2 linked regions of the Alligator mississippiensis genome follow. The protein of the gene in region 2 interacts with the protein of the main gene of each other region in a biochemical or structural test. Links are inferred from orthologs where the notes say so. Each region holds a gene or a part of one and is shown on either strand. Other genes may lie near its edges.

What was found. The genes of interacting proteins can lie anywhere in the genome.
Region 1: the proteins of GTF2E1 (region 2) and GTF2B form a complex in vitro, tested with the Homo sapiens proteins (2 studies listed by BioGRID). The link is inferred for Alligator mississippiensis from reciprocal best matches to the Homo sapiens genes GTF2E1 and GTF2B.

Annotation. Positions count from the first base shown.
Region 1 is NC_081828.1:30,984,482-30,992,228, forward strand, and holds the start of GTF2B (transcription initiation factor IIB), read right to left. Parts: upstream 3,096-7,747; 5' UTR 3,015-3,095; coding exon 2,998-3,014; intron 947-2,997; coding exon 840-946; intron 1-839. UniProt on the Homo sapiens protein: General transcription factor that plays a role in transcription initiation by RNA polymerase II (Pol II). Involved in the pre-initiation complex (PIC) formation and Pol II recruitment at promoter DNA.
Region 2 is NC_081824.1:253,467,804-253,475,002, reverse strand, and holds the start of GTF2E1 (general transcription factor IIE subunit 1), read right to left. Parts: upstream 3,054-7,199; 5' UTR 2,936-3,053; intron 1-2,935. Other genes in the region: RABL3 (rab-like protein 3), read left to right, coding at 3,253-3,298, 6,478-6,569.

The DNA.
Region 1 (7,747 bases), on a different chromosome or scaffold from region 2:
AACAATTCTTCTGTTGCAAAGAATTCCGAAGTACTACAACAGGTCGGAATGCTTTTATCATTATTTAATATGCCTGGGTTTATCTGGTAAATCACGTTTGCACAGGCATCTTGGCCACACTTGAGAATCTCATGGCACCCTGGTTGAGAATCACTGAGTTAGACCTTCCTTGTGAGCAGATTATTCCCTGAAGTGTCTTGTGGCCCGTTTCTTGCACCTCCTCTGAAATAACTGGTGCCAGTTACTGGTAGAGACAGGATTCTGGTCTAGGCTTCCCACAATGGTCCCTAACTGAATATGGCAATTCCTATGTTTCTTTGTACTAAAGGCTTCAAAATATTTTGAAGGATATCCACTAGCCTAATGTCTTTAGCTCTATCTCTTAGCAAGGTGAAGCCCAAGATTTAAAAGTCAGACCCCTTGCTCAATATTTCATTTCCATTAATGCATCTCAATGTACACCCTACTGTCATGGCTGTGCCTCGTAGTACAGTCAAGTCTTCAACTGTGCCCAGGTTACATAATATGACCCTAAAACATAACATGGTCAACCTCTAGTACCACAAAGGTCAGAGGTTTCAAGAGCAGCAGTCAACTTTCTTCTTCATAATGTGGGCTTCTAGTCAACAACAGACCCTTTATACAAAAGATTGGTTTAACAATATAATGTATTACCAGAAAAAACACCTACTTAAAATGGTAGATTTTTAGCTAAGGGAAAACACTTCTGCAATAAGGACTTCTAATTTATTAATGTCTTATGCACACAAAAGTTAAGTAAAAACAAATAAGTCTTCATTTTTTGAAAGGGAACTGCAATAACCTGAATGATTACTTACCTACTACTAGTCCACATTCTGAACATATCATGTCTCCAGCTCTGTAATCCTCTACTAAAATTGAATCTGGATGGTTTGGGCAAGTTACTCTTGGAAGAACATCCAAACTAAAAAAAACAAAGAAAAATATTTAGATATTTTATCTGCCGACAAACTTTAATCAACGTCTGTGTTTCCAAAGACTATTCACATCTAACAGGAAACCTCTATTTCAGTGATAGTGCAAGAAAAAAACCCTTCAAACCATACCCCATTGATACCATTTTTAATCTGCATCACAAATGAGCTGAGTAATAAATAAAAAAAAAAAATGTGTAAATGATACGACTGGATGATATCCAGGGCTGTAGTTAGTATACATAAGAAACATTTGGTAGCCTAAGACCTGGAAGAAATTAAGACTGAGACACATTTTGTGATCTAAAATCTACGTGTCTTTCAAATAAAATGTTCACTGCCCACAATGTTTTAGAAAACAAAAAAAAATATTTCTGCTTACAGGACAATACCATTGCCACATCATATGAAATATTTAAAGAAAAAACTACCTTTAAACAAATGTTAGCAATCTCAAAGCAGAAACAAAATCACCAGTTTATAAAAGGGATTAGGAAATGGGTGACTAGGATAATGGGATGAACTAAAGTCCTGTTTCAGGACTGTTTCTGCCTTCATACAAATATATTAAAAACCAAAATAAATGTAACTGAATATATAATAGGAAAAATAATCCAGCTGCAACAAAATGTTAATACAAGGCAAAAACAGCTACAAAGTATCAGTGTCAGACAATATACAAAATGTGCGCTAACTACAACGTAAGAAAGCATTTGGAGTGCCCCAAATTCACTTGCAGTTTACACAGGATTTCAAAGCTATAATCTTGCTAACACAGATAAAAGTACATATTGACATTAAGCACTGATCAAATCCTACTATGGGAAAATATTTTCACTAAACATTTTACAAGTAGATACCCTATAAAAAACACTGTTGACAGTATATGGACCCTAGAAAATGTGATCATCTTAAAACCTCACAACCTGACTACATTCAGTTGGTATAGTAACTTTTTTTTTACTTGGATTCTTCAATTCATTAAAGCTATAGGTGCCATCTACTAAAATGAAGGGCAGCAACTCATCAAAACAGAGAGATTTGGTCAGAAAAATAAGTGGCTTTCTTATCAGTACTAGGCAAACTACTACCACAATACTCCAACTACTAATTATTTCTTAAATGTAGAAAGTAAACATTAAAGCTACAAACAGTCATTTACATATTAAAAAAATACAAAGATTTTTTTTTCTAGCTGCTTCTTGAAAACCTTGTGTAAAGGCCTGGTAAAACAACTGCTTTCCCCACCATACTCTAGGCTGCTAATGTTTCAGATGGCCAGACTAAATGACAAAGCATCACAAGCAACCAGTTGATAATTTGTCATTACACAAGAGGCCGTTGGCATTGTAAATGAAAAGAGAAGTAAAGCCACAAGCTTTACAGAAGTCAAGGGCAGGCACGGTTTCATTTTGTGCAGTGGTGTCTGACAGCTTAGAGGATGCCCGTTTTCCCACACCTACGCCAGCACGGCTCCTAGACCACCTATCTGGAGTCCTGCGTGTCCTCATACGCAGGCTGAAGCACTCGGCCAGCCGTAGCCGTCGCCGGGTCACTTAGCGCTGTGATAAAAGCGCCGCAAAACTCGGCCTAAAGAAGATTCCTCCGGCAGCGCCCGAGAAGTCCGCCTTGACCGCCGAGCTGGAGGAACGAGCCCCTTCCCGGCGCGGAAGGGACCGGGTCAAGCACCAGATCCGCTGGCAGCGCCGGAGAGGAACCGACACGGGCGCAGGCCGCGGCCTGCTCCAGCCAGGCCCAGGCAGGAGCGCCGGGCCCGCCCCAGCGAGCAGCGGCGGCAGGAAGGCGGCCCGACCACGTCCGGCCGGCCGGGGCCCAACCGCTCCCACCGCCACGGGGCTGCAGAGAACGGTCAGGGAACAAAGGAGGCCGCCACTAGTGCGCCCAGCTCTGGCCCCGGCCCCGGCCGCCTCCACCTGCGGCTCCCCTCCCGGCCCCGGAGGACCCGCACGGCCGCAGCCCACGACGCTCGGCCTCCCCTACACCACCAAGGGCAGCGGCGCGGCCCCCGCCCCCGCCTCACCGGCTAGTAGACGCCATGTTGCTTCCTCCTCCGCTGCAACGTCTGCGCAGGAGCAAATACAGCCATCGCGCACCTCCTTATATACCCTCGGGCCTGGGGGCGGGGCCCTGCCGGGTTCACTACGGGCTGCGAGCGGGGACAAAAAGATTGTCTCCCTTACTTGGCGCCTACCCTTGCCTCCCAGTCCTCCCCAGGCGGGGCGGGGCTTATCAGGGGCTGGTTCCGCGGGTTTTGAGTCGCATCAGGACAGGTGACGGGATGGGAGCGACTGCGAATTAGCGCTTGTATTCGGATTCTTCAAGGTCCTTGAGGTGCACGTAGGACACCGAGGCTGAAAAGAGCTCCCCGGGTTTGACCCGAGACAAGAACTTCGTTCCCCTGGGAGCCCGCAGCCGGCGTCGCCGCATTGTGCGCTCGGAAGCACGCGGCCAGTTTCATCCAGGACGGAGTGGGCCGGGATGTGAGTCCCATCTGCACAGGTTTAAACGGCAATTCGCTCCAATTGCCCTGATGGTTTTAAGGCAAAGTATCAGCTCGGCTAACTGGCAGGTACTTAATGGCTTGCCCTGGAAGGTCTGGGGTTTGATGCAGTCTTGATTCCCAATCAAGTTGCTGTTTTCGCTTTCAGTCTTTGGTCCAGAGAGGCATACGCTTGCCCTGTGCAAACAGCCTTTCCTAGCACCGGACAAAGGCTGTCCCTTGTGAAACCAGCCTCTAAACCATATGGTCTCTATCGTGCCACTCTGCCCTACTTATTACCAAGTGTCCAGACATGGAATAGTTCCACAAAGCTATTTGGCCCAAGTTTTTAAGGCCCTGGGAAAAACAAACAAACAAAACTACTGTTTTTTATATAAGGTCCCTGATTGATTAGGGGCAGTGGTACAGTCCTTTTCACCAACCATAAAAGGACAGAACGAGGAGGAGGAAACAGGAAGGGAATAAATCTAAAAAGTGGGTAAAGCACCTTTAGGGTGCAGGCAGAAGTGCAGGTCCCTGCAGTAACCAAGGAGGAGTTGTAGGAAGATTTCAAAATGACTTGGTGTGATGTTCTTAACTTGTTAGGACTGGGCACTGTCTTGATTGGCAAAAAGGAGTATTTTCAATTGTATTACCTCAAATTGAGGTAGTTTAGCAGGACCAAAAACCCTTCACACTTGTTAAAATGCAGATTATTTCTCTGAACTAACACCAAATAGAGACGCCTCCCACTTTGCTAGGCCTTTTATCCATTGCTTTTGTTGATTACTTTAATAAAGCATTGCTACATTGATTCACAGATCTCTTCCCTTGGCATAGAAAGGAACGAGGACTTGATTTTTATAAAGGAAAGCAAAGCTTGCATTCCACAGAAAACAGTAAAATCTGCATTAAAGAACAGAATTTCACAAATCCAGATTTTTTGAATGGGGGTACAAATCTAATAAATACATTAAATTTATCACTAGACTCTCTGAAGCCTCATTTATCTATTATTTCAACCTAGGTAGATTTTGAAAAACAAATGTAAAGTGGATTGCCCTGATTAAAGATTCAATGTAACCAGCATTTAAAATTTAGAAAAATCACCCCTTTTTAAAGAAAAACCCAATTGGATATTAAATTAATGCTGTATAAAAATCTTGACACCGTACTTTAATAATAGTTTGCATTTATTTTCTTTCAAAAATAACAGAAGTTGGTCTGCAACAGAGCTGGGTAATTATTTCGGGTGGAGGGCCACTCAACAAGTTTTGGTGAGCTATCAAGGGCCACATGGGTAGTCCTGGCCTTTGACGGTTGCCCCATTCCCTTGTTGCCATCTTGGGACCAGAAGTCCCAACCTTAACCCCTGACCTTTGCCACCAGAAGTCCCTTCCCTTGCCCCCAGAAATACTCCTTTTGAGAGGGGAGGTTTGCCATCTTAGAACCAGAAAAAAACTAAATCATACACTAAAAGTCAAACACCTACTATAACTTATTTTAATTTTATTACAAAAAATATTTTTGTCATGTTTTGTGTTTGTGTAGTGGTGACTGCATAATAACTCAAAAATAAATTCTTAGTCTTATATATTGTGGGGGGAAGTTGTATGGTAGGGTGGGTATGTGTAGTATGGGTGTGTATGGTGGGGTGTGGGTTTGTGGTAGGATGTAGGTACGTGTGTTGGGGGGTTATGTATATGTGGGGGCAGGGTGTGGATGTGAGGGAAGGTTGGGGGGACTCCCCGTATGGTGCAGCAGTAGGTGGGGAAGCAGTTTTCCCTCCCCTGTAATGTGGCCCCTGAAGGGAAGGCAACTGGCTCCAGTGCTTGAGGCTTCCCTCTGGTGCTACGCAGCCCCGGCAGGGAAGGCAGCTGGCTCCAGCACGCTGGGCTTCCTTCACTGCTGTGCATGTGGTGGGGCACACCAGCAATACAGGTGGCCCAGCGGAGACTGCACCCCTCGCTGCAATGTGCAGCTCTGGCCGCAGCTGCATCCCACCAGGTGCCTGCACCCTAAGCACCACCCCCCCCGCTGCTGCTGCCACCGCCTGCAGGGGCTGCATGCCATGGGGGAGGGCAGGAGTGTGGGGGGAATGTGGAGGGGTCCCCACACACCCCCCACTCTCCCTCATACTGCCCACCCAAGCTCCACGCTGCCGCCGCCCCATCCCCCTGGGCACAGGCTCTGCACTGCTACCAGCCCCAACCCCACGCTCCCACCCAGCTGTAGCCCCACCTCTACTGCTTCCCAGTCTGTTGCCTGGAGCAAGCAGGAGACTGGAGAAGCAGAGCAGGTCCCTGGGGGCTGCAGCAGTGGCAGCAGCACCCTTGCACTGAAGCTGCATGCTGGTTGTCCAGGCCCTTCTGCCCATGAGGGTGGGAGCCAGGCAATAGGGTACATTTTTGGGGCTGCATGTACACGTGAACGCCTCACTCCCCGCCCTTATGGACAGAAGGGCTGGGCACAGCACAATTTCTTAGGGGGCCCCGCAGGACAGATGAAAGTGCTCAGAGGGCTGGATCTGGCCTGTGGGCCATATTTTGTCTGCCCCTGGTTTGGAAAGAACTTCCAGAGATCACCTAGTGGCTGTTCAACCCCCTGCCTGAAGCAGGATCATCCCTATCCAAACCATCCTAAACAAGAGAGGCTTAGGGGGCGGCGCAAGACACACAGGTGAAAGCCTGTTGCACCCCCACACTTCGAAGCCCCCCAGCAACCCCCAACAGGTGTGGAGCGCCCCCACCACCCCCCAGCAGCAGCCGAAGGCAGGCAGGGCCCGTGGTGGGAGGGGAATAGCTCAGCTCAGCTGTGGGGAGGCGACTAATTAGGAGCCAAGGAGGGCCTCACCCCGCCCCGGCCCTTACTTCGCCTAGCCCCCCAGGGAGTCATGTGACCGGAGCCTCACGAACAGGCCGTGCAAACAGGCACGCTTGTCTGCCCGGTGCACAAGTTAGCTCAGAGTTTGCGCAGGAGGGCGAGCAGGAGGGCCCGAGGCCCTGCCTGTGAGCCTGCTAGGATAGGCATTCCCAACCGTAGCCGGCCTACCAGCAGCATACTGCAGATGGTCACACGCAGCACCCCGAGGGTCCCCTCAGGGTCTGCGGCCCCTGCTCCCTGGCTCCTCAGAGGTCTCTACCCAGACTGAACCCATGGTTCCGGGCTCCATGCAGACGGAGCCCCTGGCTCTAGGCTGCCTGTCACTTTTTCAGGCTCTGGGGTCTGGAAGCATGGCCAGCCCTCATTGTGGGGTATGCTTCCTTTTGGGGTCTATGGTACGCAGCTGGAGGAGCTCCAGGCTGCAGTCCAGAGACTGTGTGCCATCAGGGACTGTGAGCAGGAGATCAATTCGTACTGCCAGGCCCTTCTCCCCCAGGAGGCGAAGGGTAGACCACAGTCACCCTTCAGGACAAGGGAGGACACCGGGACCTCCCCTTCTGTCCAGCCACGGGGATGGACGAAGGTGGTCAAGGGCCCCAAGGCCTGCTGCACCAAGGTCTCTGCCCCACTGGAGCTTTGCAACAGGTATGAACCTCTTGCAGCCCCAGCAGGCAACACAGGCTCAACTGTAGCTACCGCCCCCGCTCTCCCCAAGACAAAATGCAAAGTGTTTGTCATGGGAGACTCCATCCTGAGCGGGACTAAGGGGGCAATCTGCCGCCCTGATCCCTTGGCCCATGAAGTCTGCTGCTTCCCAGATAGAGAAGCCTCTATCCGAGACATTGTGGAGAAGATCCCTAAGCTCCTCTGGCCCACTGACCACTACCCTATGCTCCTCATCCATGTGGGTACCACTGACACAGCTCCGAACACTCCCAGCTGGGTCATGAAGCACTACAGGGATTTGGGAATGGGATTTAAGGGGTTGGGGGTGCAGGTGGTGTTTTCCTTGATCCTTCTGGTTTCGGGCTATGAGCTGAGGAGGGGGAGGGGGATCCAAGTAGTGAACCAAAGATTGCGGCACTGGTGTTATCAGGAAGGCTTCGGCTTCCATGACCACAGTCCGCTCTGGTGAGAGAGGCAGTGAGCTGCTGGGAAGGGATGGCCTCTACCTCTCCGCTGGGGAGGAGGCTCTTCTCAGCCAGACTGGCTGACCTGCTCCACCGGGCTTTAAACTAATCCCACCGGGGGGTGGGGGTACTACCACCACTGCTGGCCCCCTGGGCAGCCCTTGCAAAGCCATCAGGCCAAGGCGCTTAAGGGAGCCCACCCCTGCTCCAGCCCTGGAACAATCTGTGGGCAAGGCTAGGGCCCCCAAGGGGACACTTGTGTGCCTGTACATGAATGG
Region 2 (7,199 bases):
GTGGAGCAGGGGGCTGCAGGTCAGAAGTGAGGGGAACCAGCAGGGCGGCCGGGGGTGGGGGGAGGAATGGAACAGGAGAGGACGGGACGGGACACTGTGGCTTGGAAGTGAGAGCATAGGGTAGGGTGGCTTTTGGGTTGGCTGTGGGGCACTGGCAGCACCAAAGGGTCACGGGTTGAGTGTGAAGAGCACTGGCATGACCAGGAGGGTGGGGGAGGGAATTGTGGGTCAGCAGCAAGGTTGGGGGCTGTAGGTCAGGATTGAGGGGTACTGGCAGGGCCAGGGGGCAGTGGATGGGGAGTGAGGTGTCCCCCTGACAGGTGTCCTCTTTTTTGGAACTGGACATATGGTAACCCAGGGGTCAGCAACCCCTGGCACTTATGCCAAGCATGGCACACCACAGCCAGCCCCAGCTCCGGCCCAGGCTGCTCCCAGCAGGGCTGCAGCATCCCAGCTGCCTGCTGCGAGCAGCCCAGTCTCCCGACTGGCAGCAGCTCCCCACAGCCGTGCCGGGCTCTGGCATCAGCTTTGCACTGGCGCGTGCACCCACGCGTCGGAGTGGGCGGTGGGAGGGGCCTGAGGCAGTGCAGCCCCAGTCTCTCCCCCACTCTCGGCACGGAGCTTGACACAGCTGTTTGTAGCCAGCCCAGGCTCTGGGCGGCTGCAGCAAGCAGGCTGCAAACAGCTACGCCAGGCTCTACAGCTCTGGCATCAGCTCTGTGCTGGTGGTGACTACACATGCACCTCAGGGCAGACAGCGGGGCAGTGCAGCCCACCCCGAGATCTGCATGCAGTCACTGCCAGCACGGAGCTAATGCCGGAGCTGTAGAGCACGGCGCAGCTGTTTGCAGCCTGCCTGCTGCTTGCTGCAGCTGCCCAGAGCCCAGGCTGGCTACAAACAGTTGCGCAGAGCTCTGGAACCCTGCTATTACCTCTGTGCCGGGAGCGGGAGACCAGGGCTGAGCTGCCTCAGGCTCCTCCCCCATCGCCCACTCTGACATGCAGGTGCAAGTGCTGGTGTGGAGCTGATGCCAAAGCCTGGCACAAGCTGTTTGGAGCCTCCCGGGTCTGGGGAGCTGCTGTCAGTCAGGAGCCCAGGCTGCTCCCAGCAGACATCTGGGACACTGCAAGCCCTGCTGGGAGCAGCCCGGGCTCCAGCAGCTACCCAGAGCCAGGGTAGCTGCTGGCAGCCACAGAGCCCAGGCTGGGGGGCAAGGGGCAGCAGGGCTGGGGGGGCAGGGGCTTTGGGTGAGGGGGGCAAGGGGCACAACCAGGGCATCCTGCCATGTACCCCTTACCCTCATTTTGTTTTTCTGCCATGCCAGCACGCCGGCACCTTCCGAGGTAGGCATTGTGGTGTTTTTCAGTACTCCGGCCAAAAAACATTGCCTACCCCTGTGACAACCCTAGCCCTGCTTTGAGCAGGGAGTTGGACTAGATGACCTCCTGAGGTCCCTTCCAACCCCTATTTCCTATGATGCTACAAGTAGTACGTAAGAAGGCAGATGTTGAGGGATATTTTCAAGGGAACCTGGACACGCAAGGCAGAGATGCACACTCACTGCTGACAAAGCCAAGCCAAGCCAAGCCACAACTAGCCAAGAGATCCTTATGCAGCAATTACAGACATTTGACCCTAAATGGTCTACATCTCCTCCACACAAACGCACAGGGATGGAAGGCCAGAGCTTGCCTCAGACCACCAAGAGGGATCCCAAGAGGCCTCAGACCTTGACAACCCAGGAGCAAGCATGCCTGTGTATTCTCTGCTGTAGGTAACTGCTCTTGATTGTTTAGGTTAGATCAGTGTTTCTCGACCTGTGGGTGACGATCCAAAAGTGGGCTGCAAGAATATATGAAAGGGTTGCAAACAAACTTTAAAAACGGATCAACAAACTTTTAAAACGGAGACAAATGTAGGAAACGCTGGGTTTTCCCTTGCAGGCTGTCAGATATCCAGCCTGCGAGGAGCTGCTTGGGGCCCCCCATTGCCCTACACACTGGGGAGCTTGGGCCTGGGGGCACTGGGTCAGGACTGGCCATCAATGTTTACAAATGGGTGCTGGTACAAAAAAGGTTGAAAACCGCTGGGTTAGATATTAGGCAGACAACAGAACAAGGAGCAATGGTCTCAAGTTGCAGCAAGGGAAGTTCAGGTTAGCTATTAGGAAGAATTTTCTCAGTAGGACGGTGGCAAAGCGCTGGAACAGGTTCCCCATAGAGGTGGTAGAAGCTCCATCCTTAGAAGTTTTTAAGACCCAGCTCGACAAAGCCTTGGCTGGGATGATCTAGTTAGGGCTGGTCCTGCTTTGAGCAGGACTTTGGACTAGATGACCTACTGAAGTCCCTTCCAGCCCACATGGTTTAACTATGACCTACTGTCTATGACCAGAAGGACAATATCCCCATGCACCCGCAGCCAGTGCAGGAGGACTGCCCTTGGCTCCTCTCGCGCCCCCTGCTGCATAAGATAAAAGCCTCCAGGATTGCCCTAGCTGCAAGGCTGGACCTGAGGCTCCTTCCCGGTTTCTGTGCAGGGAGCAGCAGCACCCCAGGGCAACGGTGGCCCAGACGAGCAGTGCTGGCACAGAGCAGAGTGCGTGGGGGCGGGGGCCAGGCAGATGCCCAACTACTCCGCGCCGCCTCGGCCCCTCTCCCCACAGCTGCCAACGGACACGCTCCCCTCCGCCCCCCACTGGCTCCTCAGCTGCCCCCCTCGAGCGGCTGGGGAGACGGGCCCGAGGGACACCACCCCGCGCCCACGTGGGCGGTCCGTGCGGCCCGCCGGGGAGGCCCATGCGCCAGGCACGTGATGCCGGACCCGGACCTCGACCCCGCCGCTGCCCGGCGGGAGGGGCAAGCTCCGGGTGCGCCTGCGCAGTAGCTGGCAGGAGGCCGGGAGCGGAGAGCCTGGCGCCGCGCGCGCGGGACTGACCTGCCGGCTCCGGGTGGTGCTTGGCGCCCCCCGTCTCCGGCAATGCACGTCACAAATTCCTAGCCGCGCACGCGGGCGGTGTCGCACGGCTGTGACGCAAGCGCCTATTCGGCACGCCAACGGTAGAGGGAGAGGTCCGCCCACCCGCCATCCTGGGTGGACAGGAGGAGGGAACCAATCGCTATCTGTGATAGCCACCTTTGATCCCGCCCCCTCCCCGCCTCGGCGAATGGAAAGCGGAAGAGGCGGAGCCAATGGGTGGAGAGTTAGCTCGCAATTGGGCGGCGTGCTGAGTGGCTGTTGCTAGGCAGGCTAAGATGGCTGCTTTGGACAGGGTCAAGGTGCTGGTGCTGGGGGATTCCGGTGAGTAGTTGGGGGGGGAGTTCCCGTTATCACCCTAGGCCTGCGCAGGTACCGGACCCTTCTCCCCCGCGCCGGGCATTGGTGGCGGGGGAGGGGGGCGCAGTGACGCACACGGTGACGTGAGCAGGGGGCGGAGCTGGTGTAGAACCCATAGCTGCGATTCACGCTCGGGGCGTAGATGCGGGGGCGGGGCGCTGGGCGAGGGGCGCTCTAGGTGGCTCTGGGCCTCTTTGTGGACCTCCCCCCCGGGGGGGGGGGGGGGCGGGCTCTAGTTAGCTCAGCCTCGTTCGGGAACCCATCCCCCATGCTCTGGAGGACTGGGCCTATGCAAGACTGACGAAGTCTGTGGGCCATAGGTTGCCGACCTCTCCTTTGGGGCACCAGGGAGTGAAGTCATTTTCCTGCGGCCTGAGAAGCATGGCATGACAAGCACGTGGACATGTTCTTCTAAACCCAGGCCACTGTCAAACTCCTGGAGAGCCCAGCAACAGCCAGGCCTGCTCCACACGTGCAACAGAAACGGCACTTCTGTGAGTGCTCTGAGCAATGACCAGAGATGAACAATGACCCCACGTGCATATTTAGGGCTGTGTGTGTGTTTGTACACTCACCTGTTTGTCACAAGAACTCCCATTGGAGCCACATCCCCGTTGAGGGCTTCCAGTGACCAGCGATACAAGTTTTGAGAGGACTTTTTGTTGGTTAAGTCATGCACTAAAATGATACCTAAATGGAGAGTTAAAAAAGACAGGATATAACTTGACATTTCCCTAACCTTTGTATTTGATCCAGAAGCTCTGGTATTAAGAGACAGTTTGGTATGAAACATTAGGAGAAGGGATCTGTTGTGTACTTCTTTAAGGAGCTTAAATGCTAGAAATGATAGCATTTCTACTTAAACATGATCCAAAGCAGGAGCGTAGTAGAATCTAGTTTTCGCCCTCTTCTGTCTTGCAGTTTAAAACAACCTCTGTGTATTCCTTTTTTTCCCAAAATTGAGCGAGACCTGAATGCTGTCATTTTCCTGGGAGGCCTTGAGCCTGGGAAGGTTGAGGGCCATGGCTTTAGATACTTCAGGGGTAACCTGTCACCATCTCCTCCTCTCAGCAAAACAGCTCCTTGAAGGGGCTTGCCCTCATCTTGCCACTCTTCTCTCGTTTAGTCCTTGCCAGCCCACTTACTTCTTTAGTTGTCTTGCATGGTCCTTGCAATTCAGCTGTGCTTTTCTTCCTGTGTAGTGCCCCAAACTAGATGCAGCAGTCATAACGGTGGATAAGCCATGTTTCAACTTAATAAGACATACAACCTAAATGGTGGAGGACGCAAGTAGCAGAGAGCGATGGGAAAACCCCTAGTCACACCTTGTTCACTCTCCCTTTCAGCCTCCCCTCTGCCTATGTGACAAAGGTCTATTTGCTGCCTTAGAAGATACATGGGGCATTTCCCACCAAATAAACTATTAGCCTCCCTTAAACGTAGAGTCTACTGGAAAGGCAGCACCTAATTGCTTGGGACAACTAAAGACAACAGGAATGAGAGTGGTCAAAGGTTAATAACTAGTGTGGCAAGGGGGGACACTGAGCAGAGCATACCGGACAATACCCATTGGCCCTCAGACAAGTCCAAGGAGCCAGTGGGCACTGCCTAGTGATATTCTGCCTGGAGATGGGATTGCACTAGGGACAGGAAAGTCACTCTGCCATCCCTGCTGTGTAACAAGCTTACTTGTTGCCTAGGGAACATGGGGCAGTACCCTCAAAGAAACACTGTAAGCGTCCCTTAGAGAGGAAGGCCAGTAGGTAGGCAACAACTGTTTTTTGGGGACAACTAAAGACATAACAGGGATAGGAGTGAGATCAAAGGTTTAAAGCTAGTGTGCCAAAGAGGGACACCCAGCAGAGCACACCAGACAGTGCCCACTGGCCTTCAAACAAGTCCAAGGCTCCAGTGGACAGTACCCAGCGATACTCTGCCTGGAGATGAGATTGGACCAGGGACAGGAAAGAGGCTCTGCAGTCCTTGCTGTGTAACACAGGATACTGGGCAAGATAGATGTATGGGCTGACCAGTAAATGATAGTTCTTATGTTCTGTAAATGATGGGCCTCATACAACCCTTCCAACTAAAGTCAGCATGCTGTTAGCTCTTTTTGTATTTCTCACATACCCATCATCAGTACCTTCTTTAAGGCAATTGCATGCTGGAACATTCATTTAAATGTTGGGTTTAATAGTATCGCTTGAACCCACTAATTATTGTAGTGCCATTTTTTGGTATGTTAGTAACGGCATACCAAAAAGTTAGGGGTGCATCGATAGAGATTTCTGGGTCCGATACCAATATCCAATTTTTAAGGAGGCATATCAGCCAATACCAATTAGATTTCCTATACGGTGTAGAGAGTTGCCTCCGGCTGGTAAGTCTGTTGTGGTGGAAGGGGAGCAGGGGAGGGAAGGGGCGTGGGGGGTGCAGATCAATGCCCATGGTGAGGGAGGGGGCAGGGGCAGCCTCTGCCCAGCTGGGACAGGGCATGGGGCAGAGCCATGGCTTGTTGGGGGGGTGCTCCCACTGCTGTGTGCACCCTGGGAGGGCACGGAGGGGTGGAGCCTGTGCCCCCTGGGTCTGCATGGGGCAGGGCAGATGGACTGCACCTGCGGGCAGGAGTTGAGGCTGTTCTGGGCTCTTCTCACCGAGGGCTGGGCTTGGGTTGGGAGCTATGGAGGGGGCTACAGCCACCCCAAATTTCGCTTTAGCCCCCTCCCAGTGCCACCGCACACCTGGTGCAGCCCCGGCCCTTCCCAGCACATGGGTGGAGGCTGGGCATTGAGCCAGGGCTGTGCCAGGTGTGTGGTGGTGGCAGAACACCCGCCCCCCCCCCCCCCCCCCAATGCCCCTTCCACCACAAGAAACTTACCAGCTGGAGGCAGCTCTCCATGCTGCTGCGCTGTGCTCCTTGTTGCCTGAGTGCTGCGCTGCAGCTACACACACACATTGGCATTTATCGACCAAATTATCAGCTGCATCGGGCCGATTTCCGATACAGCCAATTTTCTTTATATCGGTACCAATCCGATATCGGACCAATATATCTGTGCACCCCTACAAAAAATATGGTGTTAATGGCAAATGTAAGGATCTGTGTTGTCTATCATGCAAATTAAATATATGTTTGCTTTCAGGTGTTGGGAAATCTTCACTTGTTCATCTGTTGTGCCAAAATCAGGTGTTGGGAAATCCATCTTGGACTGTGGGCTGCTCAGTGGATGTGCGAGTAAGTGAACTTCTGGACTTGCAGTGTTGTTCCTGTTGTTATTTCTGATGTTGTGGTCACTGCTTTCTGGGTCACAAGTTTAAATCTGATTCAGAACTAGTTTGGGCCTTCACTTTTCAGATGTCTATAATTAAGTTTTGAGTGGTCTTTTGAATGATATTTTTAAATACCAAAGTCTTGGGTATTTTTCATGAATATTAAATGACCACTGGTGTTTTCTTAAAGAATAGCTTAATTTAGCTAACATCCTTAGGTAAAATTTCCTCTTCTTTCATTTATCTGTGATGAGCTGACAGACCCTCTCCACCCCAAAGTCAGGTTCATTTCATTGCTGTTAAACTTTAGAATCCTTTGGGGGAAAAGTGCTAAGAAAAAAATATTATTACTCTAGACTGAATATTTTTACTTACACAAATTAAGCTTTACAATGTCACCAGCTACAGAAGCCAAGATACATCTGTCTTTCAAAGCATCACAGCACAGTGACAGTTAATATATACTCACTAGGATATTATCCTTATTACTTTTTGGTAAGTGGTCAATTCTGAATCAGAGGATGAATAAACTGAATTCACAATTCCTTGGGAGACCATTACCATGCTGTTATGTTGCCAGCCAGATGTATTGAAG